4 linked regions of the Diceros bicornis minor genome follow. The protein of the gene in region 4 purifies or fractionates together with the protein of the main gene of each other region. This does not show direct contact. Links are inferred from orthologs where the notes say so. Each region holds a gene or a part of one and is shown on either strand. Other genes may lie near its edges.

Region 1 (7,125 bases), on a different chromosome or scaffold from region 4:
TTCTTTGTATTACACTTGGTTGCCTCTTGGCTATATAACTTCAGAGTGCAAATCATTGAACTCTTTAACAAAGTATTGTAGAGAATAAATCATAATGGGTAAAAATTGTTCTTTGTGATGCCTATTTTTTTTTTCTTGGAACAGTGGTAACAGTCATTTTATTTTTGAAGACTGCCAACCAGACAGTGTTCATTCAGCCTGCATATTTTGTGTGGTGTTCATGACCCCCAATAACCTCGCACTTGTATATTTTTTTGTGGTTAGTAATAATGCCACTGGTTTTTTAGAGCCAAGTTTCTTGAGCCATGAGCCAAGAATTCATGAATCCTTTGAAATTTGGATTTTTCTAGAAAGAAGGCTCATAGTTTTCATTAGATTTTCCACTGAAACTGACCTTGCCCAAAAAGCTAAAAACTGAAGCGGGGAAAAAAATGCTCAAATTTAAGATGTCATCTGGTGACGTTAATCCAAGCAAAGACCCTAGGACATATTGATGGTCTGGCCAAAAGGGAAATGTTTTGGGCCAGAAAGGATGAGATGTGTTTGAAGAGAATGGTAAGGAGTAATGTTTCAAACATACAAACATTCATATGCTGGGATTGTCAGTCTTCAGTTGAGATTTTTATTTGCAAGGAAGTAAATTTTTTTTTTTTTGGGTTCCCAGTTCTGAGGGCCTTACACTTGGCAGACCTCATAAGCCACAGGTATGCATGCTGTCAGGCTTAGGTAATATTGGAAACAGACTACAAGCAACTGGTTAAACACTTAGAGATTTGGTTAGACTTAGAGACTGGTTAAACACTTCACAGATTTGATAATAACTCGGGTGTGTGAGAGGAATTCTTTCAAGAGAAATTATGGTTCTAGAGATTACTATTCCATATTACCTGTGATACCACCTGTAGTCAAACAGCATGGAATTCCATATCATTGATTTTTTTTTTTGGTGGTGGCGGTATAATATGTATAACATGAAACTTGCCATTTTAACAATCTCTGTTGTCTTCTGAAATGTGAACTAAGCCATCTAGTCAGAGATCAGTGGTGCTAATTCTTGTGGGAGTGGGGGCAGGGGAGGTGCTCTAAAGCTGCTTCCAGATCAATCTAGGGTCTGTGACCTTGGCTTGAATATCTGGCTTTGAAATACTACAGTGATCTGGCTGAAGGATCTGACTCTGAACCAACAGTGTACAAAGAACCATGTAGCGTCCTGAGGAACGTAATGTTAGTCCTGTCCCTCCTGCGTCTGTTTCCCTCGTTCTAAAATGAAACTCTGACAAGGATTCTAGGGTCTCTTCCTGCTGCTTACTCGCTCTGTTTCTATGAGGTTTTGTATGCTACAGCAAATTGGAAAACAAGTGACTCCTCCAATTTCAAAACTAACTATTGATGGGGGAACCAAACAGGAGAGAGTTCTCAAGTTCTGCTGCCAGTCAGACCCCGACTCCCAGTATGGCCATTGTTTCTTTGATCCCACTTTGGTTCTCAGCCAAAGAAGTAACCAACCAGAATGCTGACATTGGAATCTTCACAGTCTGGCAGTCTGATACTTGAGCTCAAATCTTGGTCCTGCCATTTATGAGCCAGACAACTAGTTCTGAGCCGAATTTCCTGCTTTGTGACAGGCCTGTGAATCTCCAAGGTAGCCTGTTGGAAATGCTTTACCAAGCCCCAGCACATGGTGCACTGGCTGAATGATTATGACTATCCAGACTGTCATCCAGTGCTAAGTGTAGATGGGAACAACTGGGCAAGTGTCAAACCCTCTGAACCCTAAGCTACTCTGGGCCCATGAAAAGAGGTGGCATAATTGGTGTACTCAGCCCTTCAAGTCCGGACAGGCTTCCTGAAAGACATGGGTGCTGAAATCAGCCCAGCTTGACCTGAAGAAGAGAGAGCTTCTCAGGTAGAGTCAAACAGTGCCAGGACAGCATGATGGGGTGGACGAGCCCTCTCAGGGCTCACTGCCCTGTCACATTGCCACAGGCCAGCCAGGCCTTAAAATCCTGGGACTCCCAGGACCCCCCCCCCCGGAAGTTTTTGTGCCTGGAAGTCAAAGGGTGTTGGCAGAATCACACAGCCCCACCCCCACTGTATATACCCCATTCCTTTGTATCTCTAGAGACTATTAATAGCATGAGGGAGAGGATTACAGGTGGATGCCTTTAGCTTCCTTTGTAGCACTTACCAGCAGACTTCAGCAGCTGGTGACAAAGATTTTTTAATTTATGAGAGAATAGCTTAAATTGGGAGATTCTGTACATTAACTTTGAGTATACAGAGAACTGCGAAATGTCATCATTCTACATTAGGGGCAGAACACCTGGGTCCAGGAAAATACATGAGTGATTCAGTCCACAAGCACTTTGAGAAGCACTGTAAAAGGTTACAAAAGGTGGAAATTACTCTTTTGATTGAAAAATGATAGAGCAACATTAATGAAAAATATAGCAAACATTTGTATAAGGGCTGCATAATTACTGTGTTTTCCTTCATTTTCCAAGAATGATATAATGAAAATGACATTTAAGGAAGTTGAAATATGAATTTACCTTAAAGAGCGAATATTTCTCTTATGTACCTGACAATTTTGTTCATGTGACTCCTCCCCCATCACTGACTACATGTTAAGGAGCGGTTCCAGGCCAGCCCCTGCTCCCCAGACCCCTTGACTCATCTACCTCCAATCAGAAGAGGCCTCTTTCTCTTTGTATCCTTCCACAGCACTTGTTTTTACTTTCTCGCATACTATTTGCTACTTTCTGTCTTTTATTATGGAAAATAAGTCCAGATCTTGCATCAGCTACTCCAGGAGAGCTCCTTGTGGGGACAGAGCTATGATTGATTCATCTTTTTAAACCCAGGGCCTTGTACATAAGCGTTTATAATGGTTTCCTGAATGAAAACGTTGTGGACAAACTAACCTGTGAAACATCACTGCATGTATTTTTTGTTATTTTCCTTTCTTCTCTCCTCACCTGCTGACTTCTCTCCTGCTATGTGTGTGCAGAAGCTACCAAGTGTGGGGTATCCAGCGAGCCCTCGAGCCAGCACATGGTGAGGTCCAGTAAGTAGTAGGTGCTCTGTAAAGCCCTGTCAGATGGACAGATGGAAGAAAGAGGCCTACACTGAGTTGCAGGTCCATTTCCACACCCAGCGGCTGCATGTCCTCAGACTTCTCAGCAGGACATCTGTCCGCAGTTCTAATGAAAGCACTTTGAAACAGTAATAAGCTCTGCCAATACTATGTAACCTACTATTATTTTACCCAATACATGCCTTCTGGAAATACACATACAGAGCAAATTAATTTTGTGAAAATTATATTTATAAATCAAAGGAATATAGGTACACATTCTTGTCTGGTAATATCTTAATTCATTTTTTGTTAACAGAGCTTATATGATACCTAAACATTGTTCGCCACTGAGCCACGTTGTGCGCTATGATTATTTCCTTTACGGTATAACCTGTTTTCTCTGTAGTTGAAAACACCATCATTTTTCATTTGCTTACTTTTCTATGTATCATCCAAATGCTCCAACAGATGTGTTAAAGGCCCCTCAATATCACTGTTCACGAGCTCAGAAGTATCCACTACAAATCAATCAAATTTTTTAAACGCTTAAGGCATTGAAAGGAATTCCACTGTATGTTTTCGTAGTCACCTACCCACCTTTACATCAACGGGAGTTCCTTGGGTCAGTCACTTGGCGCGTTTCTGCATCTCATCTAATCCGTTCCTCCGCCCTGGAAGGCAGGTTCCTTATCCACACTTCATAGGTGAGGAAGCTGAGGCTCAGAAAGGCCCAGTGACCGGTCTCAGGACAAGCGGCAAAGGACGTACTGGACAAGAGAAGGAGCACGGCTTCCCCCAGCGCAGGCCAGTGCAGGACGCCCTTGGCGCTCCGCTAACCTCCGGAACCCCGCCGCCCTGGCCCGGTCTCCTCTTCCTCTCTGGCAGCCCGAGTCCGCTCGCTTGCCCTCGGCCGCCTTTCCGGCCCCGCCCACCCACCGGCCCCGCCCACCTCCGCCAGGTGCCCGCCTCGGCCTCCAAGGCCACGCCCCTCCCGCGGCTGGCGGCTCAGCGCTTCCGCTTCCGGTGGTGTGGTTGGCGGCTGTGATGGCGGCAGGTGGCAGCGACACGAGGGCTGGCGATGTAGAGGAGGACGCCTCACAGCTTATCTTTCCCAAAGGTGGGGCCTGGGGCTGCCCGACTGCCCCTATCGTCCGGCTTGGTCGCCGCAGGCCTGGCGTTGCCGGCGCCCGACCAAGGTCTGGCCACGGCGGGCAGCCAGGCGTCCCCGGGCGGCGACGGGCGGGGGGGGCCTCGAGAGCGGGCCACCTAGGTTCGGCGCCTGCAGGCCTGGAGCCGTCGGCGCCCAGCCCACACTGCCCCTGGGCGGCCTCTTGTACCTGTTTAAGTCGTTTATTTTCTCTGATAAACCGCAAGGTGCTGGAGGGCTGTGTCAGGCTAGACAAAGCCGGCACTGGTCGAAGCGGTAAGGACAGATTGTAATCAGTAATATGCTGTCGCAGTAGGGGAAGAGTCCAGCGTGGCCTAGGCTCAGCTTCGATTTGGCGTTTTAAAGGAAGAATGAGGGGATAGAGAGGGGGTGAGCGGGGCCTCGACAGGGAAGTGAAAAATTACAGAAGGCGGGAAGGGGGGCTTTGGTCTATTTGAAACTCGTTTTGTTTGTTAACTGACACTTAGGGAAGTTCGGCTCCTGCCCTCCCTCTGGGCTGGGAGACAGGGAGCCTCTCTTCAGGTGTCGGCTGGAGCAAACAGTCCGTTATTTTAGTGGCCTTGAGTTTTCACAGGCAGGCGCTTTAAAGGGGCTGGGGTCGGCCATGAGCTGTTAGAAATCATGTTGGTGTTTTGTTCAGGTCTTTATGGGCCAAGGTTGAGGCCTAGTGGAGAAGAGGGCTCAGAAGAGCCCAGCTAGTGATTGGTCAAGGAGGGACTCTTGTCAGATGGCAAGGAGTAAAGCACATTTTGCTATCAGGGAACTTCCTCAGTGCAGTGGGATGCACTTTGCTTGTAATTTAGAAACCCAAAATAAGCAGGAAGCTTAAGATTTTAAAATACCATATTTTACAGGTACTGAAAAACACGAAGTAAACAGGGGAAACCTTAACAACACCCTCCTGTTTTAAAAATTATTGTATCCGGGCTGGCCAGTGGCTTATCGGTTGAGTGCGCACGCTCGGCTACTGGCGGCCCTGGTTCGGATCCCAGTGCGCACCGTCGCACCGCTTCTCCGCCCCACATATAGCAACTAGAAGGATGTGCAGCTATGACATACAACTATCTACTGGGGCTTTGGGGAAGAAAAAGGAGGAGAATTGGCAATAGATGTTAGCTCAGAGCCCGTCTTCTTCAGCAAAAAGAGGAGGATTAGCACGGATGTTAGCTCAGGGCTGATCTTCCTCACACACACACACAAAATTATTATATCCACAGTAACAAGTGAAACTCCACACCCCCTTCACCCAGAGGAAAGTACTGTAAACATTTTAGTGCTTATCTTTCCAGACTCATTTTATGCTTATTCATAAATATATACGTATACACTTTTTTCTTTGCAAAAATGCAATTATGCTGTAGAAATCCTACAGCTTTTTAAAAATTTGACTATATATTGTACAGAAGTCTTATTTTTTTAAAGGGCTAGATAGTACTTAATATATCTATTGATAGACTTATAGGTTGCTTCCAGTTTTTTATTTCATAGACTCAAGGTCAAATGTTTCTATAGGATAGCTTCATGGAAGTTTTTGGCATAATGGAAATATGTTTGTTTCTTTTTTAAGGTGTAATAACTAAGAGGGACATGGTTTTTCTTAATTTCATGGTAAATTAGGACAAATTTTTTGTACTTGAGTTTTATCTACGTAGTTTTTATTTAGTTTTTTTCTACTCAAAATATTTGTTTTGATAAAATCAGGTAACATCTGATACACATGAACATTTTATTGAATTGGGTATAATTAGATATTAGATCCTATCAATTAACAGTGTATCAGTTCTGAATATCTGTTATCTTTAACTTCTCAGCTGATATAGGCATATAAAATGTTTATTATGGGGGCCGGCCCGGTGGCTTGGCGGTTAAGCGCGCGGGCTCCGCTGCTGGCGGCCCGGGTTCGGATCCTGGGCGCTCACCGACGCACTGCTTCTCCGGCCATGCTGGGGCCGCGTCCCACATACAGCAACTGGAAGGCTGTGCAACTATGACATATAACTATCTACTGGGGCTTTGGGGGAAAAAGTAAATAAGTAAAATTAAAAAAAAATGTTTATTATGTATTTTAGAATGTATGTAGATATATAGTATTTAACAGTAAGTAATGGGCCGGCCCGGTGGCTTAGCAGTTAAGTGCGTGTGCTCTGCTGCTGGCGGCCTGGGTTCGGATCCCAGGTGCACACCGACGCACTGCTTCTCCGGCCATGCTGAGGCCGCGTCCCACGTACAGCAACTAGAAGGATGTGCAGCTATGACGTACAACTATCTATTGGGGCTTTGGCAAAAAATAAATAAATAAATAAAATTAAACAGTAAGTACTTAAAAGATAGGGAAAGTCTTTGCTGTAGGATGGAAAGTAAACAAATGTGTGATATTCCATTGTAGGACTGAAAGAATGGATGAGACGATTGAAAGCTTCTGAATACGTGTAGTGGTAGTTTTCACAAGCATATTTGCATGCAAATAAAATTTGTTCTTCATCGGCATAATTAACAGCAACTGTATGGAAGAAATTAGGAAGTAAGCCATTTTTTCCAAAAAAGATTATATAATCCCAGTCACTCCCTCCCTCAACTAAAGAAATCCCCTAAACCATTTTATTCTAGAGAGAAAAATGTACATTATAAGAAGACCACCTGAAATTGCTACCCTTATCATAAAACATTTATTAATGGTTGTAATGAAGAATCTTTAAGAAAATTCCTAGATGAGGTGCTGACCAAGGAATTGTTTTCCTTCTTACAGGAACAGGGATTAATAAATTGTTCTGAAAATATCTGCACAGAGGGAGAATAACATGCAGATTCCCTGATGTATTTCATTTTGTTTCCCAAATAAATTAAATTATGTATAATGTGTGTGTATATGGTTTCACCT
Region 2 (7,406 bases), on a different chromosome or scaffold from region 4:
CTGCCAATCCTCCTCTTTTTTTTTTGCTGAGGAGGACTGGCCCTGGGCTAACATCCGTGCCCATCTTCCTCCACTTTATATGGGACACCGCCAAAGCATGGCTTGACAAGCCGTGCATCAGTGCGCGCCCGGGATCCAAACCAGCAAACCCCGGGCCGCCACAGCGGAGTGCGCACACTTAACCGCTTGCGCCACCTGGCAGGCCCCCATTGGTGCTTTTTAAGAGAGTGTTTCCTCCGCACCAGTACAGTGACTATTTCACTGAGATGACAGAAGTAATTGAAGAGAATTTCTGCACATTCTCACCAACGAACCTACCAACCAACTTACCTGAATCTCTCCCTGGATGCACTACGTTCCTATTACAAGAAAGGAACAGTCTGTGGACCTATCACTTGATCCTACCCTTTCCCACCTACTGAAGGGAATCAATCCAGCAATTGTCCCATTTCTATCCTGTATCAATATTTCCCCCTAATGTATCATTTGCATCAGCTACAGTTATTTCCTATATTGGAAAAAGAAATGACCCCTTGAACTCACATTTCTCTCCAGCTTCAGCTCCTTCTCTGCTCCCATTTTATTTCTTGAAAGAGTTGTCTATTTGTGATATCTCCACTTCTCCCATTCTCTCTAGAACTCTCTCCAATCACTTCATTTCCTGGAAACAACCCTTGTCAAGACCACCAATGAGCACAGTGTTGCCAAATCCAGTGGTTATCTCAGTCCTCATCTTATGCAACCTACACAGCAACACCTAACAATTGATTACTCCCTCCTTGACAAATTTGCATTACTTGGCTTTCAGAACATTATTCTCTGGGTTCCCTTTTCACTGGTTATTCCTTTTCAATCTCCTTTGCAAGTTGCTCCTTATATCTCAGTCCTTGGACCTTTTTTCTATCTACACTCACTCACTTCCTGGGCAACTTCATCCATCTCTTGGCTTTCAACACCCTCTATATACTGACAATTCTTAGATTGATGTTTCCTACCTAGACCTCTCTCATGAACTTCAGACTTATATATCTAGTGCCATTTTTGTGTCTGATATCTTAAAGTCAAGATGTCCATAACTGAAATCCTAATTCCTACTCATTTCTCACAGGACTACTCCTCCCCCTAACCTCTCCTGGTCTATCTGAGAAAATGGCAACTCCATTCTTCTAATTCATGCATTCTCAATGGGGGCAATATCATCCCACAGGGGAAAAAATTGGCTCTGGGGAATGAAAATATCTTAGATATTACAATGGTTTGTGACCCTCAAAGCTCAACTCTACCTAACAAAATTTTATTCCTTATTATTTAATATCTCTCATTTTCTAGGGTATGACTACAAGCAGCAATGATATTGAGTTCATGGGAGATACACAAAATGCATGCAAGGTCAGTACTACAAAACTATGAGGAATAGATGGCTGTGATTGAAGAACTTTCTCTCCCTCTATTGCCCTATTTTTAAGTCCTAACACAGGAAGTGGCCTACACATGACTATTGGCTGTCATGTACCGCCTTGTGTGATTGATTCTCAGTGCTTCTGGCATATGACTTGGGCTTTAAAAAGCAAATAAAAATAGTTGATATTTTATTATTCTATAAAAGTTATTGAATGCATCATTAACTATGTCAAATGCTGAGAAGAAAAAATGTCAACAATATCTGAATACTAAGTGGCTAATAATTTTCTCATGTCAAGTAAAAGTTAAAAGTTCACTAAAAATTTTTAAGAAATTTAATTTTTTCAATTGTTTTACTTTCGCTGGAAATATAATAGTTTTGAATGATTTTTAAAAAGATTACATTGCTATTATGCATTTGTATGAATTGCTAATTTTCATATGTGATATGATAAATTACTATTTTTTAAATAAATACATTAAAGTTTACTCAGCAAATACAATTATAAAGTTAAGTTAAATATTAATAGCTTCAAAATTTTTAATTTTTAAAGATTTTAGTCATTCTTAATTCTGCATTGAATAGAAAGAGTAAACTTCATGCTTACTCTTGTATAAAGCACAGATATACATGCAATACATAAACAGATATACAATATATCTGTGGCATTAAAACTTCATGAGGGGGGCTGGCCCAGTGGCATAGTGGTTAAGTTTGCACGATCCACTTTGGCAGACCGGGGTTCGCAGGTTCAGATCCCAGGTGCAGACCTACACACTGCTTATCAAGCCATGCTGTGGCAGGTGTCCCACATATAAAGTAGGGGAAGATGGCCACCGATGTTATCCCAGGGACAATCTTCCTCAGCAAAAAGAGGAGGATTGGCAACAGCTATTAGCTCAGGGCTAATCTTCCTCACCAAAAAAAAAAAAAAAACAACCTCATGAGGGTTGGGGGGATTAGGAAAAAAATCTAAAAAGGATCTTTAGGGGCAACAATAATGAAAAAAAAGGTGGAGAAACACTGTTCTAATTGTTCAGGTCAAAAACCTCCATGTCATACTTGACTCATTTTTCTCATATTCCCCTTAAATCCATGAGTAATCCTTTTAGTTCTACCTTCAAAATATATATCCAGGATCTGACACCCCTTCTCATTATCTTTTTTGCTACAACTCTGGTAATGCCGCCATCATTTCCTTGTGTAGATTATTCCAAAAGCCTCCTTAACCGGTGGCTCTGAAGTCTATTTTCAACATAGCAACCAATGTGATTTTTTTTTTGTGGAAGATCAGCCCTGAGCTAAGATCCATGCCAATCCTCCTCTTTTTGCTGAGTAAGACTGGCCCTGAGCTAACTTCTGTGCTGATCTTCCTCCACTTTATGTGGGACGCAGCCACAGCAGCATGGCCTGACAAGCGGTGCGTCAGTGCGCGCTGGAGATCTGAAGCCAGGCCACCAGCAGCAGAGCGCCCCCACTTAACCGCTATGCCACTGGGCCGGCCCCCCAATGTGATCTTTTAAAAAGATCACCACGTAATTTCTCTGCTTAAAAGGGCTCCCCATCTCAGAGTTAAAAGCCAAAGTCCTTACAGTGGCCTGCAAGGCCCTACTCAAGCCCTCTCCTACCACTTGTCCCTCTCTTACTGTTCTCCAGCCACACTGGCCTCCTTGTTCTTCCTCTGATATGTCAAGACATTCCTGTTTTAGGGCCTTTGCACTTGCTGTTCCTTCTGCCAGCATGTTCTTCTCCACCTCCGCGATAGCTGCTTGGTTACTTTGTTCTTAACATTCAGATCAAGGGTCACTTCATTCCAGAAGATTTCCTGGATCACCAAACCACCATTCCCATCCCTATAGAGGATCACACACAATGTCCTCTCCCTCCCTTACCCTGCTTCATACTTCTTCATAGAACTTCTTACTCTCTGATATACATTTGTTTATGGTCTCCTGCCACTAGCCCGAAAAAGAAGGGATTTTTGTCCGTTTTGCTAGCTGTTATTCCCCAACATCTAGAACAGTATTTGGCACAAGACGTTCAGCAACTTTTTGTTGAATTAATGAATACTAGATATGAGCTTGATAAAACAGGTTCCCTGCATCAAGAAACGTGAGCCTACTAGGGAGATGTAAGAAAATTAAAATACAATACGTAATTGCATGTGTTCAGTGGAACACAGGAGCCTCCAAATCTGCCCAGAGGATTTGCATAGGCAGATGAGATGGAATGCTTAATCTAGGTTGTGCTAATCAATATAATAGATATCTAAGGCTCTGGTAAACTATAATGTATTATGCAATTGTGAGATTGCATCACAACTGAAGATGAGATCACACTTTGCCTTTTATTCTTTCCTCGTCTCGAAAATTTTACGGGGCAATTTTTCGTTTCACTTCACTTACTTCCTCTTCCTATAATCCAAATAGTTAAGTGACTGCGAGTGGTATCGTCCAAGGGGCAGTGTAAAATATTGTTTGGTCTAGAGTCTGCGTAGTGAATGGCTCGCAGGAGCTGGCGCATGCGCATCTTGTAAGGCAGGGCAAAATGGCTGCCAGCCCCTTTGTCGCCCGTTGGTGCTTCGAGGAGTTAGCGGCGGCGGCGGCGGTTGCAGCCGCCAGAGAGTAACAGTGCCCGCTGAGTGGGGGGAGTTTCCCGGCCTTGTTGTGTGAGCTGCACAGCCTCAAGAGACAGACCTCGCTAGGAAGCAGAAGGCGGGGCGGAGCGGTGAAGCCCCTCCCCCCAACCCTTCTCCTTAGTTTGACCAGCTCCCTCACCCGTCCCTCCCCGTTTTTCTTCTAACCCGCTACACGTTTATCTACTGCGCAGGCGCACAAATAATCAAAGCGCCTCCTTGGCCCTTGGGGCTTGCGGGCTCCTGCGCGCGCTTCCCGTTCTTCTCCCTCGATTGGTCGGATTGCCCCGCCATCACGCCTCCCTCTGCTTTCCAGGTTGAGAAGGAAGCGGAGGGGGGGCGGGGCCAAGCAGCGCGTGCGCGATACTGTTGCTGTGCCTTTGCTGCTGTTGCGTTGCAAAAAAAAAATCCTGACTAGGTAGCCTTGGGCCTTTTCTGTGTTAGAGGATCTAAAGGAGAGGGAAAGATTTCTGCAACTGAAGGGGCAGTCGGGTACTATTAAATTTAAGATATTAACGCCCGCCCTTACTGGAGTAAGTGGGAAGAGGAGTGGGGAAGGGCCTTAGCGTTGAGAGCCGAAGAGTATAAAACCATTAGTTTCGCGGCCAGGCATTTTGAGAGGCTTTGCAGGACCTGTTTTTTGCGTATTTCTTCCGTGATTACTGACTGGTTTAAACACAAGTCCTTAGAACAATTCTGATAAACGTTCGAAACGCGCAGCCCAACCTTGCAGCGTGTAGGAGCCGCCAGCGTGCCCAGCAGCTTGGTCCTCCCGTCCTACCTCCAGAAGAGCCTAGCGCGTGCACCACCCCACCCCCTGGCCTCCCTCCCCACCTACGGCTTTCACGCATTCGCAGTGATTGTTTTGCCCGCGTCCGCTCCCGCCGCCGCCGCGGCCGCCAGAGGAGCAGCAGCGCTTGTGCAAAGCGGGAAGATGGCGGCCGGCGGCGGCGGAGGCAGCAGTAAGGCCTCCTCCTCGTCGGCCTCTTCGGCGGGGGCTCTGGAGTCCTCGTTGGATCGAAAATTCCAGTCGGTAACTAACACCATGGAATCTATTCAAGGCCTGTCGTCTTGGTGTATAGAGAACAAGAAACACCACACTACTATCGTCTACCATTGGATGAAGTGGCTCCGGAGATGTGAGTGTTGGGGGTGACTGGGGAAATGGAAGGAAATACTGCTCGAAACGTTTGGGATTTTCCCACGGAGCCACTGCCTTCGGTTGGGGTTGTCTCCATTAAAGCTTTGGCTCGAGTGTTCCCAAACCTAGACTCCATTCCTAGCCAAGGGGTGTCCTGAACTGCAGGAGGCTCATTATTTCTTGGATTTTTTTAGCCACTGACTTGGTGTAACCTTGGGCCATCGGGCCCAGATCGATAGAGATTTATGTATTATTTCATTTCAGAGCCTTGTAAGGTGCTGTTGACTTTACTGAACCTTCACGTTAATTGTCGCGTCCGTTTATTTCTTATAGGCCTTGTCGTGTTAATGATTCCTGGTTTTCCTGAAGATAGACAAGCTATGGTTTAAGCAGTAGTAAAGCCACGTATTTCGCTGGAATATGTTCGACTACTTTATTTTTTGACTGATCTAAAACTTGTGAGGTGTAGTAAGAAAGGCTTACCTTGGTGAATGTTAAGAAGTAACATGAGCTCCATACGGAGCCGAGGCGACGACCTGGGGGTTTCCCTGTACCTGTGTTTGCTGCAGTAAAATCCAGGCTTCTTGATACTGACCGGAAACAACTGTAGTCTGTATCATCACTAATATCTTAAAGTGTAAAACATATCTGGCTACTTTGGAATCACTTGAAGTACCTTTTTAAGGAATTGAGTTTGGTTTCATAGGTAATCAAAATAGGAAATCAAGAAATGTGCTTTTTGAATACACCTATAGTACTTTTTTACCCAGTTATTGCTTTTTTGTTTTCATGGGGAGTTTTTTCCACTTTGCTGCTTTACTACGGAAAAGAGGTCTATTAAACTGTCAGGAAGCATGGATTGTTTGCAAAAGATTTCAAATCTTTTTGGAGGAAGTCTGGAGAAGTCACTGTTGCTTCCTACTGAGAAGAGGTTAACCTTAAATCCATATATCTATTTGAATTTTAGGTCTTTTGTTGCTTCCTGTCTATGGTATGTCACCAGTGAGACCCATCATCCAGTTATTCTTCTTCCACTTCTGCCATTGCCCCTGTAGTGTTGTGATTTGTTTACGTTTTAGGAAACCCAAGGGTAAAACCTGCAAAATCATTGGCCCCAGGTTTCAAACCATTTGTATACAAAGTTATTGTTGGGAGAGGTGTTTTGTGGCTCTTTGAATAATATATGCTGAAAGAGTTGTAGAACCAACACAGGATTACCTGTATTTACCAATAGCAGATTGAAGTTTCTTTCTTTCCAAGAGGTAAAATTAGAACATACAATTTCAAATATAACAGTCATCATCAAAGACTCTCACATATTAAGTATCTGCTATGTGCCCAGCCCTTTATTGTCATTTACAATATCTATTGCATTATACTTTAAAATAACCCCTGGTAGTAGATTTTTTAGTCATTGATTTACAGATGAGGAAACTAAGGCTCAGAAATGTTAAGCAAGTTGCTTAAGGTTAGACAGTAAAATGGTGGAGTTAGGATTTGACTCCACCATATCGGATAACAATGGCCACATTTAACTTTTTAAAATAATGTTTTGAAGATTATTCTTTCATGTACTTGGTACACCAGTGGTAGCAAGCAGTGCTCATGTAAGCCTGAGGACATATTCTCCTTAAACATATTCTCCTTCCTGTTTTAAAACGTTTTTACTAAATTATTCAAACATTTAACATTTCCTACCTTTGGACTCTGGTGCTTTAACTATATGGTTACATCATTTGCAAGAGTAAGTTGGTCCCCATCCCTGCCTTGTGGGATTACAGATGACAATTACAGTATTTTTTTTTTTTTAGTCAGCAATAATGAGATATACTGGAGCCAGAATTTTTCGGCCTCTACTGTTGTTGATATTGTGCCTGAGCTTATTTCCCTTGTTGATATCTTAAGAGCAAAAAAATGATTGCTCTAGGAAGACAATACTTAATTTGGAAGTGGATAGTGGATTATATATAGTTTATATAGTTAAATGCTTTTGGCTTTCTAAAAACCTGCTTTTTTTCCCTTAGTGAAATGGAACTTAGCTTTCTAAAATGGTTAAGGGTAGTTTTGAGTGGTTTTGTATTTACATTTAATGAACATTGTCTGTCTTATTGTAAATAAAGCCTTTTGAGAGAAGTATTCAGGAGAGTGGTGAAGGGCATGATGAAAACAGTTTATGCATTGGGCCTCATTTTCATTTAATTTTGTATTTCTTTACAGTTAATACTATT
Region 3 (7,441 bases), on a different chromosome or scaffold from region 4:
AGGCCATCAGCTCCTGTGATTGCTTTTCCCTTAGCCTACAGTCTAATCAAAGGGGGGAGCTGTATACCAGAAAATGGTTCCGGGGAAAAAAGCATAATAAATTCTCTAACTCTGTGTTTATTATGAAATATTGCCTAAGCATCCCGAAATTTAATACTCCATCTGCTATTTAAAATCTTTTCAACTATTTGGCTAAAAAAGCTTAAGTATTTTTCAACATAAATCCTCTGGTCTGTTTACAATATGTTCATTCCTAACCACAAGTAGTTCTCACGCACAAGTCCACTGAACTGAAAGCATTCTTCCAATTTTTGAGTTTAACAAATACTATGTTGCCATGACAGCCTGTTTCCGATGGTACTTACACATTGGTTTTAAATTTATGTGGTGGGGGCACTGGGTTTTTGGCTCGCATTTCGAGCACTTCCAAGTAATGAGGCTTCTTCTGAGTCCCACTACAAAGGCCTGTCAAGTTCTCAGTACTGGTGTTTTCTTCAGAGTGGTGTTCACCTGGGTCTGCAATTGTGATCCTTTGTAACCTATCAATAAACAGGTTGTCAGAGCTGCTAGAATGATCTTCTGCTTGACTTGAAACACGATGCTGAGGGAGACGCTCGCTAGCTTTGGATGAGGAAGGCGCGCTGTCTCTGCTGCTGGAAGCTGGGCACTTGTTCACTGCGTACTCAACCTCTGGAGCCTCTGCATCACCTCTGTGAGTAGGATATACAAGTCCCTGTTGTTGTGAGGTTGTTCTAGATGACTTGATGTTATCTACAGAGGAACAGCCAGGAACTAGTGATGAAGTATCAAGGATCTGGTCAGAGTTCTGGGCCTTATCCGTGTCCACGTCCACACCTGCGACTGCTTTTTGCCTTAGCTTATGGTCTAAACTAACAGGATGAAACAGTTCACTCTTCCCTCTAACTTCTTCACGTTCTGCAAGGGCAGCTTTCAGTTTGGCAACAGAGTCTATTATCTTTTTACCTTTGTCGGGCAATTTGCAAATGAATTTTCTGTCAAATGGAAAAGAACATGTATACATTAGAGCCATGGTTTTAAACGTGAGATATAAAGACAAAGCATTATCATCAAAAGGACCAAAATTGACCTTTAAGTCAAAAATCTGATTTCCAACTGCCCCAAAACAGGAATGAAATAAGACAGTCACTATCCAAATACCTCAAAAAAACAAGGACATGCAGGAAGAATGGGGAATATGCCTCACTTGTCTCATCTAATTAAAATTTCAGCAAAAGTATTTTAAGCATATAAGAACCATATAAAACATTACAAAAATCAGTAGTTTTTAAAGTGTGATCTCCAAGACCTTCCTAGGGAGGGGAGGTGGATGAGTCTGCAGGGTCAAAATTATTTTCGTAATAGTACTAAGACACCATTTGCCATTTCCCTCTCATTTTCTCACATGGGTACAGTGGAGCTTCCCAGAAGCCACATGATATGTGAGGATATCACTGCTCTGATGGCTAATGGAATGTGTGTGCTTTTGTATTCTTGTGTTTTAAAAGTTTCTCACTTGTAATTTCTAACACATTGATAAATATCAGTATATATAACACATAAAACCACAGCTCTTTGGGATGCTCAACAATTCTTAAGTGCACAAAGGGGTCCTGGGACCAAAAAGTTAATTCACTGCTAAAGATTAAAAACTCATTCTCACAAAGTCAAAAAACTTGTCTCTACTAGGAAGAACCCAAGTGATTGTTCGTCCCTTTTGCTGAATGACAGAAGTTACTTTTCAAATTCCCTTGTCTTTAGCTAAACAATAAATGGGGAGGGAAGTTACATCTCAGGCCCTCTATTCTTTCTCTGGCACTATATTCGTTCTCACAATTTCAACTAGTAACATCTCTCTCCAGTTGCGATTCCTGTATTTTCCCAACCTTCTCCTCTCTCTCTTGAGCCTCATGACCACTTCTGCAGCTTTTAACCAGGTAACTAGTTAACTCAGCATGCCTTAAGTAAAATCAACCTGGGAAGTAGTCCTCTCCACGTTTTTCTTGTTTTTATTAATGGTTTTCCATACAGGCTGGAAACTTCAACCCTCTCTGTCAACTACATATTCAAATTATTCCACGCCTAATGTAGTTTTTCCAATCCCTCAACTACCTTTCTAGTTCGCCTTCTTACAACCCCCTCGTTGGGAACTTTTCTGAAGATATCCTCCTACTGTCTTCTGCCTCTTATTCCTTCCAACCATCCTGCACCAAGCTGCTAAATTTAGCTTCCTAAAAAAAAATTACTTCCATTATATAGTTCCCCTGCTAAAATCCGTTAAGTCTCCCAGCTGAATGAGAGTCAAACTTTCTCTGCCTAATAAACCACTCTTTATATCCCACTCTTTCCATTTCCTACGGTTCCTGTACAAATAGGATCGAACGATGCAACTGAGATGATGTTTGGGACACGATGGGGGAGGGGGAGAAAAGGACGTAGTACACAGAGCCTTCCTTCGAGGAACAGACACGGCAGCTGAGTAAAGAAAACCAACGCGGAGCTAGCGGAGAGCAGAAAGGCCAAGCCGCCGTTCAGCACAGGAGCCACCCCCAAGGGCGGGACGCGCCGGCCGGGACGCGCCGGCCGGGACGCGGTCGGCTCTGCGGCTGTAGGCCGGCCACTCGCCAGCCGGATGGGACGAATCTGACTGAGGCAAGGTCACCTTCCAGAGAAGGCACGGGGGGAGGGAAGGGAGGGACGCGTCCCGGGGAGCCCGAACCGAAGGAGCCTGGCAGTGACTGGGCGGGAGCCAAGCTTACTCGTTGCGCAAAAGTCTCTCCTGGCGCTTCAACATCTCCCGCAGCTCCGCCAAACTCCGCTGCCCCAAGTCCTCGGGAGCTTGGGGCTCGAAGCCGCGGGGCAGCGAGGACATTCTGCGGGGGCTGCGCCTGGCGAGGCGGCGGGCACGCGGCTTCCTCGGCAGCCCCAGCTGCTAGCGCCGGATCCGCGGCCGGCGGGGACTCCGGGGCACGAGCGGGAGCCGCCATTTTCCCGGAAGAACAAGTCGTCTTCGAGCCGAATCGAGCTTTATTGAAACGCCGGAAACAGACACAGACTAGGAGAAGGGGGCACCCGGAGGGGCGGGAAGGGGCGGAAGTGACGGGGTGACGTCACGCCCCGGCTGGGCTCGCTTTTGCGGTGCAGGTTGTTTCCATGTGCGTCCAGTCTCCGTGTGTGTATTCAAAAAGTATTTACTGAGTGCCACCGTGACCTCGGCAGGTAGCCACGGCCCTTGCCGCTAGACAGGCTACCGAGTGGTGGAGGAGGCAGACGTTAATCAAGTAAGAAGAAAACAGTGTAATAGTAAGATTGGGGTGGGCACCAGGGATGGTATCTCTGAGAAGTGAAATATAAGTGAAATCTGAGTGATGAGTTAGCTAGCTGTTGGTGAGGTTGGGGCGGAGTGCAGGACAGGGTTTGAGGGGCCCTGGCCTATGCTATGGCACCTCCTAGCCCAAGACTTAGTGAAGTCCTCAAATGTTAACGTTGGAAGGATCCTTGGGACCATTGGCGTTTCTTAATGGGGCTCTATGGCATTTGAAGCGGGACTTTTCTTCATCTATGGCACTGCCTCAGGCATTGAAAGACAGTTGGTGTCTGGCTTCTGCCCACTAGTTGCTACTGCCACAGTCACTGTAACAACCCCAAACGGCTCTCCTGACCCCTACACACACGTTTCCCAAGGCCCATGAGAGGTGAAGGGGGTGGAAATAGCTGTCCAAGCCAGCTGAGAATCACTTTCACAATTCCCTATTTTGCCTATAGAGAAACAGAGGCACAAAAACTGAAGTAAGTATTCCCAGGACCCCAAACAAGTCAGTGACACATCAGATTTCAAACTCAAATGTCCAGCTGCTCGTTCCACCACACCACTTTGGAAATTTCCTCCTTCTTCATTTTATGCCTATTTCCAAATGTATAATATTGTTGAAAAGTTTCTTTCCAGCTGTTGAGAAGAGGAAGGAAGTGTCATAAGCATCACAGCCAGCTCTTACCTTCTCTTTACAGTTCAGCTAACAGAGCCATGTCCCAAAAGATTGAGTAGGAAGCATGCACGAGTTGCAACAGATATCGATTGGGAAGTTTGAACACCCCCATAAACTCCAACTCCCCATTCTTTGATATGGAAAATTTAAATTTTCTAATCCTATGTCAAGTGCTATAATAAACACAAGCAATTCCCTCCCAATCAGACAGAAGCTCTAGATAAAAGCAGAAGCTACTCCAGGGAGCACAGTTGAAGTCATTTCTATATCCTCCCAATCTAGTCCATTCTAATCAGATTAATGTATCAAAATTCTCAACATAAGCCCAGCTTTCAAGGACTTCAATACCTGCTCCAGCCCTGGCTAAAGAAGAAATACTTGAGTAAGGCCTTTGAGTCAGGTAGTTGTCCCGCTGGCAAGCTCCCCCAAAGGCTCCCTCATCCTGTCTCTGGCCGCAGCTGGAGGCCTTTATTCCCCCACAGTAGTCATCCCCATCTTCTAAGATCCTGGGCCACAGGTGTCCTCAAGGCGAGGATGCCTTTCTCTCAAGCCTCAGAATTTTGCCCCTGGCTGTTGTCCTCTTGTGGAAGGCTGTCCCTTTCCCCCCACCCCATTATAAATCTTGGCTCAAGTCTCACCTCCGCCCTGAGCCTTCTTAGATTTTTCCAACCCAAATTGCTCTTTCTTTTGAGCATAACTGTAGTGCTTACAGTCAGAACCTCACTATGAACCTGACAATATGAAACATATAATGCTTCTCTCATTGTGTTATGCATGGTGATTTCTTTTTCCTTTCTAACAAAATTTTAAAGTCAGGGAATTCTGTCAGAGAGCTGGGTTTGTACTTTTCTGTCTCCCCCTAATGCACATAACGGGTACGAATTGACAGGATCTCCCTCTCATAATTTTTTTACTCCATATTCCTCTTTCTCTTAATGAAAGTCCTTTTTGTGTATACAAACCTTAAGCTTTTTCTGTAAGTATTAACCATAATTACTGTGAAGATATTTTCAGTGGTATGGGATAGAATCTTTTACACAACATAGCTTAGGACTCAAGATGTCATAATACAAATCTGAGTTCCTAACCACAGCTATGCACAAACTGTCTAGCTCTCTTTTCAGTAACCAAGCAGGCTAGTTGTGCTTCAAAATGAAAATAGGCAACATATTCTTTTATAATCTGTCAAACAAACAAAGATGAGTATTTAGAACGCAAACTTTAACAGCAATTTCTGGGGAAAAAGGATATAAAATGGAGAGATTTCACAAGCAGAGAAATGTTTACCTGTTTCCAGCCAAACTGGGCAAAACACTTGAAAAGAAATGGACCCACAAACCACAGGCAGCTAATCTCCGCTGAAGAATTCCAATTGTATGTCAAAGAGCCCTTCTGTTACAAAATTGAATCTAGACAAGTGTTTTTGGGTTTTGTTTTTCAATACTCATTAAAAAACTCTAAATCATGTTTTCCTATGATACTTGGATTAATCACCTGAGTGTTAATTGCCCTCAGAGTAAACTAATGAACTTGGCTGTTACAAAGAAAGAAAAATTCACAACGAAGAATTAAAGGAAAGGAAAATTTCATCAGCATATGAAGTGATGCCTGGATGACTTAGCCATCCCATTTCCACCAACCTGCCCAAGGACAGTGTTTGAATGTGATTTAAAGATGACAAAATCAAACAGAAAAACCCGGGAAAGATTTCCATTTGTCCTTACAGAGTTGAATATAACAATTGCCAATCAATTGTAAAATTGTAACATTAATCTTCAGAGTCTGCAGGCTGCTCTTCTCTGTTTTCTCCCAATGATTGTCAGTTTGGGGGCGTGAACGGCCACAAAACTGGTCACAATTTACCTGGAGTACACCAAAATGGCAGCAAAAATATTTCCCGTCCCACATGTTCTTAGTATGTGAATTTAACACTCCTCCTCTCAAGAAATGGAGTTGATGTTCCCTATCCTTAATCTGGGCATGCTTATGACTAGAGCAAAAGTGATTTTTCCAGTCTGCATGGTAAAAGATGATGCAGCTTCTGCCTAATTTTCCTGAGGTGCTTACTCTTGGAACCCAACCAGCAAGCCGTGCAGAAACCTGAGTTTGCTTAGGTGTTTCGGCTGTCAGTCCAAGCTGAGGTCTCAGCCTAACGGCAGCATCAGCCACCAGACGTGTGAATGAACGAACCTTTGGATGATTCCAGCCCCCAACTGTCAAGTCACTACCAGCCTTCCAGACTTCCATGTTGGAGCCCCAGAAACTCTGGAGCAGAGACATCCTCACTAGGCTCTTTCTGAATTCCTGATCTACAGAATTTGGGGCCATAATAAAATGGTCATTATTTCATACTTTTAAGTTTGGAGTGGTTTGTTAAACAGCAATAGTAATGGGGACATTATTCAAGGTTAATCCCTCCATCTATGCTCTGGATCCCATCCATTTTGCCTCCTTGGAGATCTCATTCATTGGTTCATTTAATAAATATTTATTGAGGACCTATCGTGTGTAAGACACTGTTCTAGGCTTTGGAGATATAGTGACGAATGAGACACGTTTCCTGCCACATTGAAACTTTCATTCCATCAGATAGTACTAAAGTGTTACATGGAGAATTAATACAGGTGATGTGATAAGGAGTAATTGGGAGGCCACCTTGATTGATTGGGTGATTGAGGTTGATTTTTCTGAGGATGTAACTTATAAGCTGAGACCTGAATGTCAAGAAGCAATTAGCCATAGGAAAATCTGATGGAAAAGTATCCCAAGTAGAGGGAAGAACAAATACTCAGGCTCTAAAAGGAGAAAGAGCTCCTCAAATAACAACAGTTAAAAAGGCTGGGGCTAGATCTTGCAGGGCTTTGTAGACCAAGATATGGAGTTTGAATTTTATTCCAAGAGAAATGGGAAGCCATCTGTGGTAGGCAGCCTCTAGGATGGCCTCCAATGGTCCCCCTAGTGAGAAGTCCCCCTCCAACTGAATATGGGCTGGACTTACTGACTCACTTGTAACAAACAGAATATGGTAAAAGTAATACCAATGGCAGAAGTGATGGGGTGTCACTTCCAAGATTAGGTTATAAAAGATTGGAACAGATATTTCACCAAAGAAGATGTATAGATGAAAAATAAGCACATGAAAGGTCACCGATGTTATTAGCCATTAGGAAAATGCAAATTAAAAACACAATGAGATGCTACTACACAACTATCAGAATGTCTGAAATTAGAAAGATTGACTATACCAAGTGTTGGAAAAGATGTGGAACAACTAGAGCTCTTATACACTGCCAATGGCAATGTAAAATAGCACAACCACTTTGGAAAACAGTTTGGTAGTTTCTTAAAACCTATTATATGACCCAGCGATTCCTCTGCTAGGTATTTACCCAAGAGAAATGAAAGCATGTGTCCATACAAAGTCTTGTACATAAATA
Region 4 (7,800 bases):
GATGGAAAAAAAGATATTACCATGCAAACATTAATTAAAGGAAAGCAAGAGTGGCTATATTAATATCAGATAAAGTAGACTTCAGAGCAAAGAAAATTACCAGAGACAGACAGGGACATTGTATAATGATTAAAGGGTAAATCTGTCAAGAAGACACAGCAATCCTAAATGTGTATGCACAAAATGACAGAGCCACAAAACATATGAAGCAAAAACAGATAAAACTGAAAGGAGAAGTACAAGTGGTTACAAGCATAGGTGGTGACTTCAACACTCCTCTCTCAACAACTGATAGAACAACTAGACAGAAAATCAACAAAGATAACAAAAGAACTCAACACCACCAACCAACAGGATCGAATTGACATTTACAGCATACTTCGACCCACAACAGCAGAATACAAGTGCCCACAGAAGAATGCCAAGATAGACCATATCCTGGGCCATAAAACAAGCTTCAACAAATTTTAAACAACTGAAATCATACAGAGTGTGTTCCCCAACCACAATGGAATCAAACTAGAAATCACTAACAGAGAGATAACAGGAAAATCAACAAACACCTGGAAACTAAGCAACATCTTTCTAAATAATCCATGGATGAAAGAGGAAATCTCAAAGGAAATTTAAAAAAATACATGGAAATGAATGAAAATGAAAATACAACATATCAAAATTTGTGGGACACAGCTACAGCCATGCTGAGAGGGAAATTTATAGTACTAAATACATATATTAGGGCCGGCCCCGTGGCTTAGTGGTTAAGTGTGTGCACTCTGCCACTGGCGGCCCGGGTTCAGATCCCGGGCGCGCAACGACGCACCGCTTCTCCGGCCATGCTGAGGCCACGTCCCACATACAGCAACTAGAAGGATGTGCAGCTATGACATACAACAATCTACTGGGGCTTTGGGGGGAAAAAATAAATTTAAAAAATAAAATAAAATAAAATAAATACATATATTAGAAAAGGGGAAAGCTCTCAAACCAATAATCTAAACTCTCACCTTAAGAACCTAGAAAAAGACAACCAAAATAAATCCAAAGTAAGCAGACAGAAGAAATAATAAAGATCAGAATAGAAGTCAATGAAATTGAAAACAGAAAACAATAGAGAAAATCAATGAAACAAAGAACTGGTTCTTTGTAAAGATCAATAAAATTGAGAAATTTCTAGCAAGACTCATGAGACAGAGAGAGAGAGAGAAATTACTAATATCAGTAATGAAATGAGATAGCACTACAGACTGTAGATATCAAAGAATAATACAGAAATACCACAAATAACTTTACATACTTTTTACAAACTTTTACACCATACAAAGAAAAAAAGAGAAGAAAAGAAATCTCCAGGCCCCGATGGTTTCACTGGGGACTTCTACCAACCATTTAAAGACAATTGACACCAATTCTACACAATCTTCTAGAAAAAGAAGAGGAGGAAACACTTTCCAATCCATTTTATTTATTTATTTATTTTTTTGTGAGGAAGATCAGCCCTGAGCTAACATCCATGCCAATCCTGGCCCTGAGCTAATATCCGTGCCCATCTTCCTCCACTTTATGTGGGACACCACCACGGCATGGCCTGACAAGTGGTGCGTCGGTGCGCGCCCGGGATCCGAACCCGGGCCACCAGCAGCAGAGTGTGCACACTTAACCGCTATGCCATGGGGCCGGCCTCCCCAATCCACTTTATGAAACTAGTATTATGCGGATACCAAAATCTGACAAAGATGGTTAAGTTCACACCCTCCGCTTCGGTGGTCCAGGGTTCACGGGTTCAGATCCCGGGTGTGGACCTACCCACCGCTCATCAAGCCATGCTGTGGCAGGGCCCCACATACAAAATAGAGGAAGACTGGCAACAGATGGTAGCTCAGGGACAACCTTCCTCACCAAAACAAAACAAACAAAACCAATACAAAAATTAAAAAAAAACAGCTGCAGACCAATTTCCCTCATGAATATAGATGCAAAAATGCTAAACAAAATATTAGGGAATATAATTCAGCAGCATGTGAAAAGAATTATACACCATGACAAAGCAGGGTTTATTCCAGGGCTGTAAGGCTGGCTCAAAATTTGGAAATCAATCACTGTAACTAATATTAACAGGCTGAAGAAGAAATCACATGACTAAACCATCCTCATCTTTCAGGCCTGTAAATGTTGAAGAGTCCTAGGACTCAGGCACCAGGTCCTTCTTCTTTCTACATCTATTCCTCCATAGGACCCCTACATTTATATCCTAGCCCAGATCTCTCCCTTGAACACCAGACCCATAAACCCAATTGCCTGAGACATTGGACATGCATTTCCAACTGGACACGCACAAGTCTAAATTCCTGCTCTTACTCCCCAAACCAGCTCTTTCCGCAATTCAGAAAATGCAAACTCCATTCTTATGGTTGCTTTAGGCTAAAACTCTCGGGGCCATATAAACTCTTATCTTTTACACCTCATATCTAATTTGTCAGCAAATCCTGTGACCTCTTCCTCTAAAATATCCCCAGAATCTGACCCTTGCTGACCACCTCCACCCTGGTCTGAGTCATTCTTTCACCTGGGCTATTAACAACAGCTGCTGAACTGGCCTTCCTGCTTCCATCCTTGCGCTTGTACCCTCTATTTTCTACTTAGCCACAATGCTCCTCCTTTGCTCAAAACCGTACAATAGACTCTCATCTCATTCAGAGTAATATCCAAAGTCTTTACTATTGCCTACAAGTCCTCAAGTGATGTGCTCCCTGGCTACTTTCTGAGCTCATTTCTAGCTTTCTGGTCTATATCACTTCAGCCTTACTATCCTCCTTGCTGTTCCTAAAAATGCCAACAATGGTGTAACCTCAGGACTTTGCACTTGGTTTTTCCTCTGCCTGGATCAATATTCCACCACACAGCATATGGCTTGTTCTCTCATTTCTTTCAGGGCTCTGATCAAATGTCACCGCATCAGCGAGGCTTCTCTGAGCAGCATATATAGTAGACTCCTATCCGCCCACACAGGCATCTTCACCCCCTGCACCCTCCTTGACTTTTATTCAAGGTACTCATCACTTTTTGACTCATTTCATACTTGCACGTTTGTTTACCCAGCTTCCCCTGCAGAAGACAAGCTTCCAAGAACATGGATTCTCTCTGTTTGTTTGCCTAGAAGAGAGCTTCAGACATAGGTGCTCAAAAATTATTTGATGAATGAATGAATGAACCACTGGTTGGGAGTAAAGAATTTGGGATCAGATAACCTTGATTTGACTCCAGGCTCTGTCATTTCCTAACAATGTCCAAGTGACATTGGACAGATTACCTACCCATGTTTTATGTTTCCTCATCTATCAATTAGTGATAATAATCCCCATTCCATAAGACTGTTTGTAAAGGTTTAATAAAAGAATGTATGTAATGTGCTTAATCCACAGTGAGTTGGTATAAAGGCACTCAGTATATAACAGTGTTACTTAATACATAAAAATGGTCTAGATTTGGACTCAAAGGCCTAGGTTATAATTACGACTAGATATTGTGTGATTTTGGGCTATTCATCTCTTTTATATCAACTCACTCAATCAGCTACGAATCAGGTGCTGGGGTAAAAAAGAGATAAGATGCAGTCCTTTCTCTCTAATCTCAGTTATGTGATCTTGGGTAGGTCACCCAACCTCTCTCTGCCTCAGTTTCCTCATTTGCCAAATAGGAATTCTGTAACATAATACCTATTCATAGCTTTGCCATGAGGACTAAATGAGTTACTACGTGAAAACACAGTGTTTTTCTAGCAACTGTTCACCATGTTAGGTATGATTACGATGATTCTTGTCTGGAGGAGGAGTAAAAGCATCTAAGCAAAGAACTACAATACAGTTGAGTAGAGCAAAAACCGGCATCAGCTAGAAGAACGTCTCCTAACTGTTGTCTGCCCACAACTGGGAAGTTCCACGACAATCAGGAAACTTTAAAATTCCATTATGTCTTCAATAACCTAACTCCCTACCTCCACCCCCTTAAGCAGTTAGAAGGTCAAAATTTCTCTGCTGATTTGATACCTGGAATTTAAAACTTTTTAAAAATAGGAAAAAGGTTCAGAGTCTTAAATAGTGTTCCTTAAAGAAGGTCAGTGGATCCACTGACTTCTCTGTCCCCGCTCCTCAGAAAGTTAACATATTACTTAAATTTCAGAAACAGTCAACTGGACCCCCAGAGGGCAAGCGCAGCATGTAAGTCCCTGCATGAGCAACCGATTAAGAGCGGAGAGCACAAAGGTGTGTTTCATGGCGGTGCTGTCACAGACTAAACGTCAGAACTGGACATTAAAGGGAGGTCTTGGAGGCCGAATGGGAGGCCACCAGGTGAGAGGTGGGCGTCACCTTTGGAGAAAGAACAGCAAGAGCCAAGGCGTGGAGGCGTGAAAACGGCACGTGGGTGGCTTGGCAGAACCAAAAAGAAGCTTGTGGGGGGCGCGGCCAGAGAGCAGGACGTGTATGGAGGAAGAGTGCGGCCTGGAGCCAGCCAGGTGAGGAAAGAAGCCCCCTTCCCAAACCCAAGTCGTAATCTCTCCGCCTCAGCGTCCCCTCAGGATCCCCCTCTAAGGGCTCGCGGTTGCTGGGTTCCCTGTTGCTCCCGCCACCCTTCCCTTACCTCGTCTTCCAGCCTTTCCCTCACTCTCCCGCCTCCTCCTCCTCGCCGGAAGTGACGCGCTAACTAGCGCGCCGTACCGCGCCAGAAAGGTTCTGCGGGAGCGGGAGAAAGGGTTCCGCGGAGGGTCACTGCGCCGGCGTGCGGGCGCGAGCGGAGAAAGCGCCTTCCGGAGCCCGCTCAAGTGCGCTCCTTTCCCCGTCTGCGGCTTTCGAACTGCCCTGAGCGAGGTTCAGAGAGGCCGCCGCCACTGGAGGGGCGTTTTTTCCACAGCTCTGACACCTCCTGGTGTCCAGCTCCTCCGGCCCTTGCCCTTTGACCCCGCTGTGGCGGCGGGGTGAGAGGTCGGTGGCCATCTTGTGGCGGCGGCACGGGCCGCTGTTACTGCGGAGACCCATCCCCTCCCCCTCTTTGCCCCCCTGGCTGGCTGTCTGTCAGTAAAGAGTCCCCAAGGCCGTCAAGTGAGGCCCAGGCCTCGTGCGTCGCTCTTGCCGTCGCACTGGGCGGCCCAGGCCGCTCCCTGCTGGGCTTGACCGCTGCCACCATGTCCTCCTTCTCCGAGTCGGCGCTGGAGAAGAAGCTCTCGGAGCTGAGTAACTCTCAGCAGAGCGTGCAGACCCTGTCCCTGTGGCTCATCCACCACCGCAAGCACGCGGGACCCATCGTCTCCGTGTGGCACCGCGAGCTCCGCAAAGGTAATCACCCCCTCCCCTCCCCCTTGGAACCTCCCCCGGCGTGTCTTCTCCCCCACCCACTCCCGAGGCCCCTCTAGCTTCTTAACTGAGCCTTGCTTTGCAGGCCCGGGCATCCGATTGCGTTTCTGAGGTTGGAAACAGTATTATCCCCATGTCTCGGAGCACGAAATTGAGGCCCGGGAAGGTTTAAGGTACTGGTCCGAGGTTCCACCGACCAGGGCTCAGGTACCCGGATGCTCCAGCCCTTTTCCCTTCAGGCTCCTCCTGACACTTGGGACCATTATTATCTGGGCGGCGTTCAGCGCCTTGTTGAGGGCGCTGGCCTCAGCCTGTCGTGTGCCAGGCGCTTTGCTGGGCATTTGGCGTAAGAGCCGGCGGACTCGGGAGTAAGACTGCCTAGATTGGGTCCTGCGCAGCCACTTACTTGCTGAGTGATGTCGGCGTTTCTTCATGTCTGTCTCGTTCCTGATCTGTAAAACGAGGGCAGGGTAGCTGCCACCTACAGAGCCTTTATTCTGTGCCAGCCCCTATGCTAAGACCTTGACGTGTATCCTCGCACTCCCTCTTCAGAACGGCCCTGTGAAGTGGGTAGGTGCAGTTACTCCCATTGTAGAGAGGTTGAGGGGCCACACCACCTAGACCTTGCCCGTCAGGCTCCTCTTCTAATGCAACTTGCACTGATTCTAGACCTTGCTCAGGATCTGACAGGGGGACATTCACGGAGCTCAGCCTGTCGTGTGCCAGGCCCTGGACTGGGTGCTTGGTAGCACGTTGGCTCTAGAGGCCAACTGCCTGGAAGTTAAGCCTGCCTTTGCCAGTTACTGACCCCAGCAGCTTAATCTCTGTCCTCGGTTTCCTTATCTGGAAAATGGAGATATGATAACTGACATTTACTGTGCTTTTATTATGTGCGAGGTGCAGTACTGATGTCTTTACACACATTGTCATTTTCTGAATTCTGGAGAGTCCGGTGAAGTAGGAACTTTGCAGATGAGGAAAAACTGAGGCTCAAACAACTCGTTGTTGTGAGGAGTAGACAGGATAATCGAAATGAACATCTAGCGTGGTGTCAGGCACAGTGTGGGCATTCGATATGTACTGGTGAGGTGGGCTCCTGATTACTCAGTGTGAGACATGGGCTTTGCCCCCAAGTTGCTTACAGTCTGGTGGGGGAGGATGGGCACCTGCACAGCTATCTGATGCCCCCTGAGTTCCCTTCAGAAAGCTGAGGAAGTGAAGCTTAGAGCTGTTTTGGACAGCCTATGTGGTAGGCCCTTTATAGCATGGGAAGTAACTTTGCATGTGTTCTCTACTGTCTGTGAGGTGGCGATTCCACCCTCTCCTACAGATGAGGAAACTGAAGCGGCTAAGTGGTATTTTCAAGGCCTTAGAACTGGTGAGGCTCAGACTACGTCAGGCTGGCAGACACCAAAATCCAGGATTCTTTCAGGAGACTCGGTTATCGCCCTCTAGCAGAGACACCCCCCCATATCATGTGCATTACTGAGATAGGGGTCCTCTCAGCCCTCTGGGCAGTTGGGGGATAGAGCCTGGGGCTCCCCAAGCCTTCTTCCTATACTACACTGTGCCATTCAAATATTATTTCCAACATCTGAGATGTGAAAAAATGAATTGCTTCTACAGGATACTATCTGGTAGGATCTCAGAGACAGGTCAGAGTCCATCTCAAATGTCACTTCTTTTGTGAAGTCTTCTTGATTCCCCACCTCACCCTATTTGAGTTATTGAAAATAACAATTTAGAGAGTGCATTTGTTTATGAAGCTCCTTTAACCCTAATCTCATATGTTGGAATCTTATGTTGTAAGTAGGCTGGCGTTATTATCCCCCATTTTATAGATGAGAAGATAAAGATACGGCGAGATTAAGTGCTTTGTTCATGGGCATACAGCTGGGACATAAGCCCAGAGCTCTCCGACGCCAAAACATGTGCTTTGAAGTATGTACCCAGTGCTTCAGTGCACTTAATAGGTGAAGGTGGTTCTCTGACTCCAGCCAAATCGGTAGTGCTTTCATTGGTTGGAATTAATCACTGCCTCCCACCCCATCCCACACCAACTTAGTGTTTATTTCATTCTTACTAGTTATGTCTTTTTCACTAGATTGTGTTTTGGGGGAGAAACTAGGCCTTCTTGTTTCTCTGTAATGCCCACAGCATTTGGCATGGTGCCTGTAACTCAGTTAAAAAATAGGTTAGGAGTTAAATTGTGTTCTTTGGCATCATTTTTATGGTTGAATAAAGGATCCAAACAACACTGTCTAATACAACTTTCTATGATGATAGAAATGTTTTGTATCTGCACTATCCAACAAGGTAGCCACTTGCCGCATGTGGCTATTGAACACTTGAAATGTGTGACTAAGGAACTAAAGTTTTAAATAAATGCAATAAAAAATTCAATTCCCCAGTTTTGCTAGCCACAATTCAAGTGTTCAGTAGCCACCTGTGG

What was found.
Region 1: the proteins of RPRD1B (region 4) and POLR2D purify together in Homo sapiens (affinity purification with mass spectrometry; 3 studies listed by BioGRID and IntAct, counting the BioPlex papers as one, with this or other methods). This does not show direct contact. The link is inferred for Diceros bicornis minor from reciprocal best matches to the Homo sapiens genes RPRD1B and POLR2D.
Region 2: the proteins of RPRD1B (region 4) and RPRD2 purify together in Homo sapiens (affinity purification with mass spectrometry; 4 studies listed by BioGRID and IntAct, counting the BioPlex papers as one, with this or other methods). This does not show direct contact. The link is inferred for Diceros bicornis minor from reciprocal best matches to the Homo sapiens genes RPRD1B and RPRD2.
Region 3: the proteins of RPRD1B (region 4) and POLR2M purify together in Homo sapiens (affinity purification with mass spectrometry; 3 studies listed by BioGRID and IntAct, counting the BioPlex papers as one, with this or other methods). This does not show direct contact. The link is inferred for Diceros bicornis minor from reciprocal best matches to the Homo sapiens genes RPRD1B and POLR2M.

What each region holds. Positions count from the first base shown.
Region 1 is NC_080749.1:5,087,804-5,094,928, forward strand, and holds the start of POLR2D (DNA-directed RNA polymerase II subunit RPB4), read left to right. Parts: upstream 1-4,103; 5' UTR 4,104-4,123; coding exon 4,124-4,196; intron 4,197-7,125. UniProt on the Homo sapiens protein: Core component of RNA polymerase II (Pol II), a DNA-dependent RNA polymerase which synthesizes mRNA precursors and many functional non-coding RNAs using the four ribonucleoside triphosphates as substrates.
Region 2 is NC_080743.1:54,811,289-54,818,694, forward strand, and holds the start of RPRD2 (regulation of nuclear pre-mRNA domain-containing protein 2), read left to right. Parts: upstream 1-4,392; 5' UTR 4,393-4,971; coding exon 4,972-5,176; intron 5,177-7,406.
Region 3 is NC_080744.1:52,976,773-52,984,213, reverse strand, and holds the start of POLR2M (protein GRINL1A), read right to left. Parts: upstream 3,003-7,441; 5' UTR 2,891-3,002; coding exon 2,778-2,890; intron 1,014-2,777; coding exon 366-1,013; intron 1-365.
Region 4 is NC_080758.1:22,147,450-22,155,249, reverse strand, and holds the start of RPRD1B (regulation of nuclear pre-mRNA domain-containing protein 1B), read left to right. Parts: upstream 1-4,799; 5' UTR 4,800-5,179; coding exon 5,180-5,330; intron 5,331-7,800. UniProt on the Homo sapiens protein: Interacts with phosphorylated C-terminal heptapeptide repeat domain (CTD) of the largest RNA polymerase II subunit POLR2A, and participates in dephosphorylation of the CTD by RPAP2. Transcriptional regulator which enhances expression of CCND1.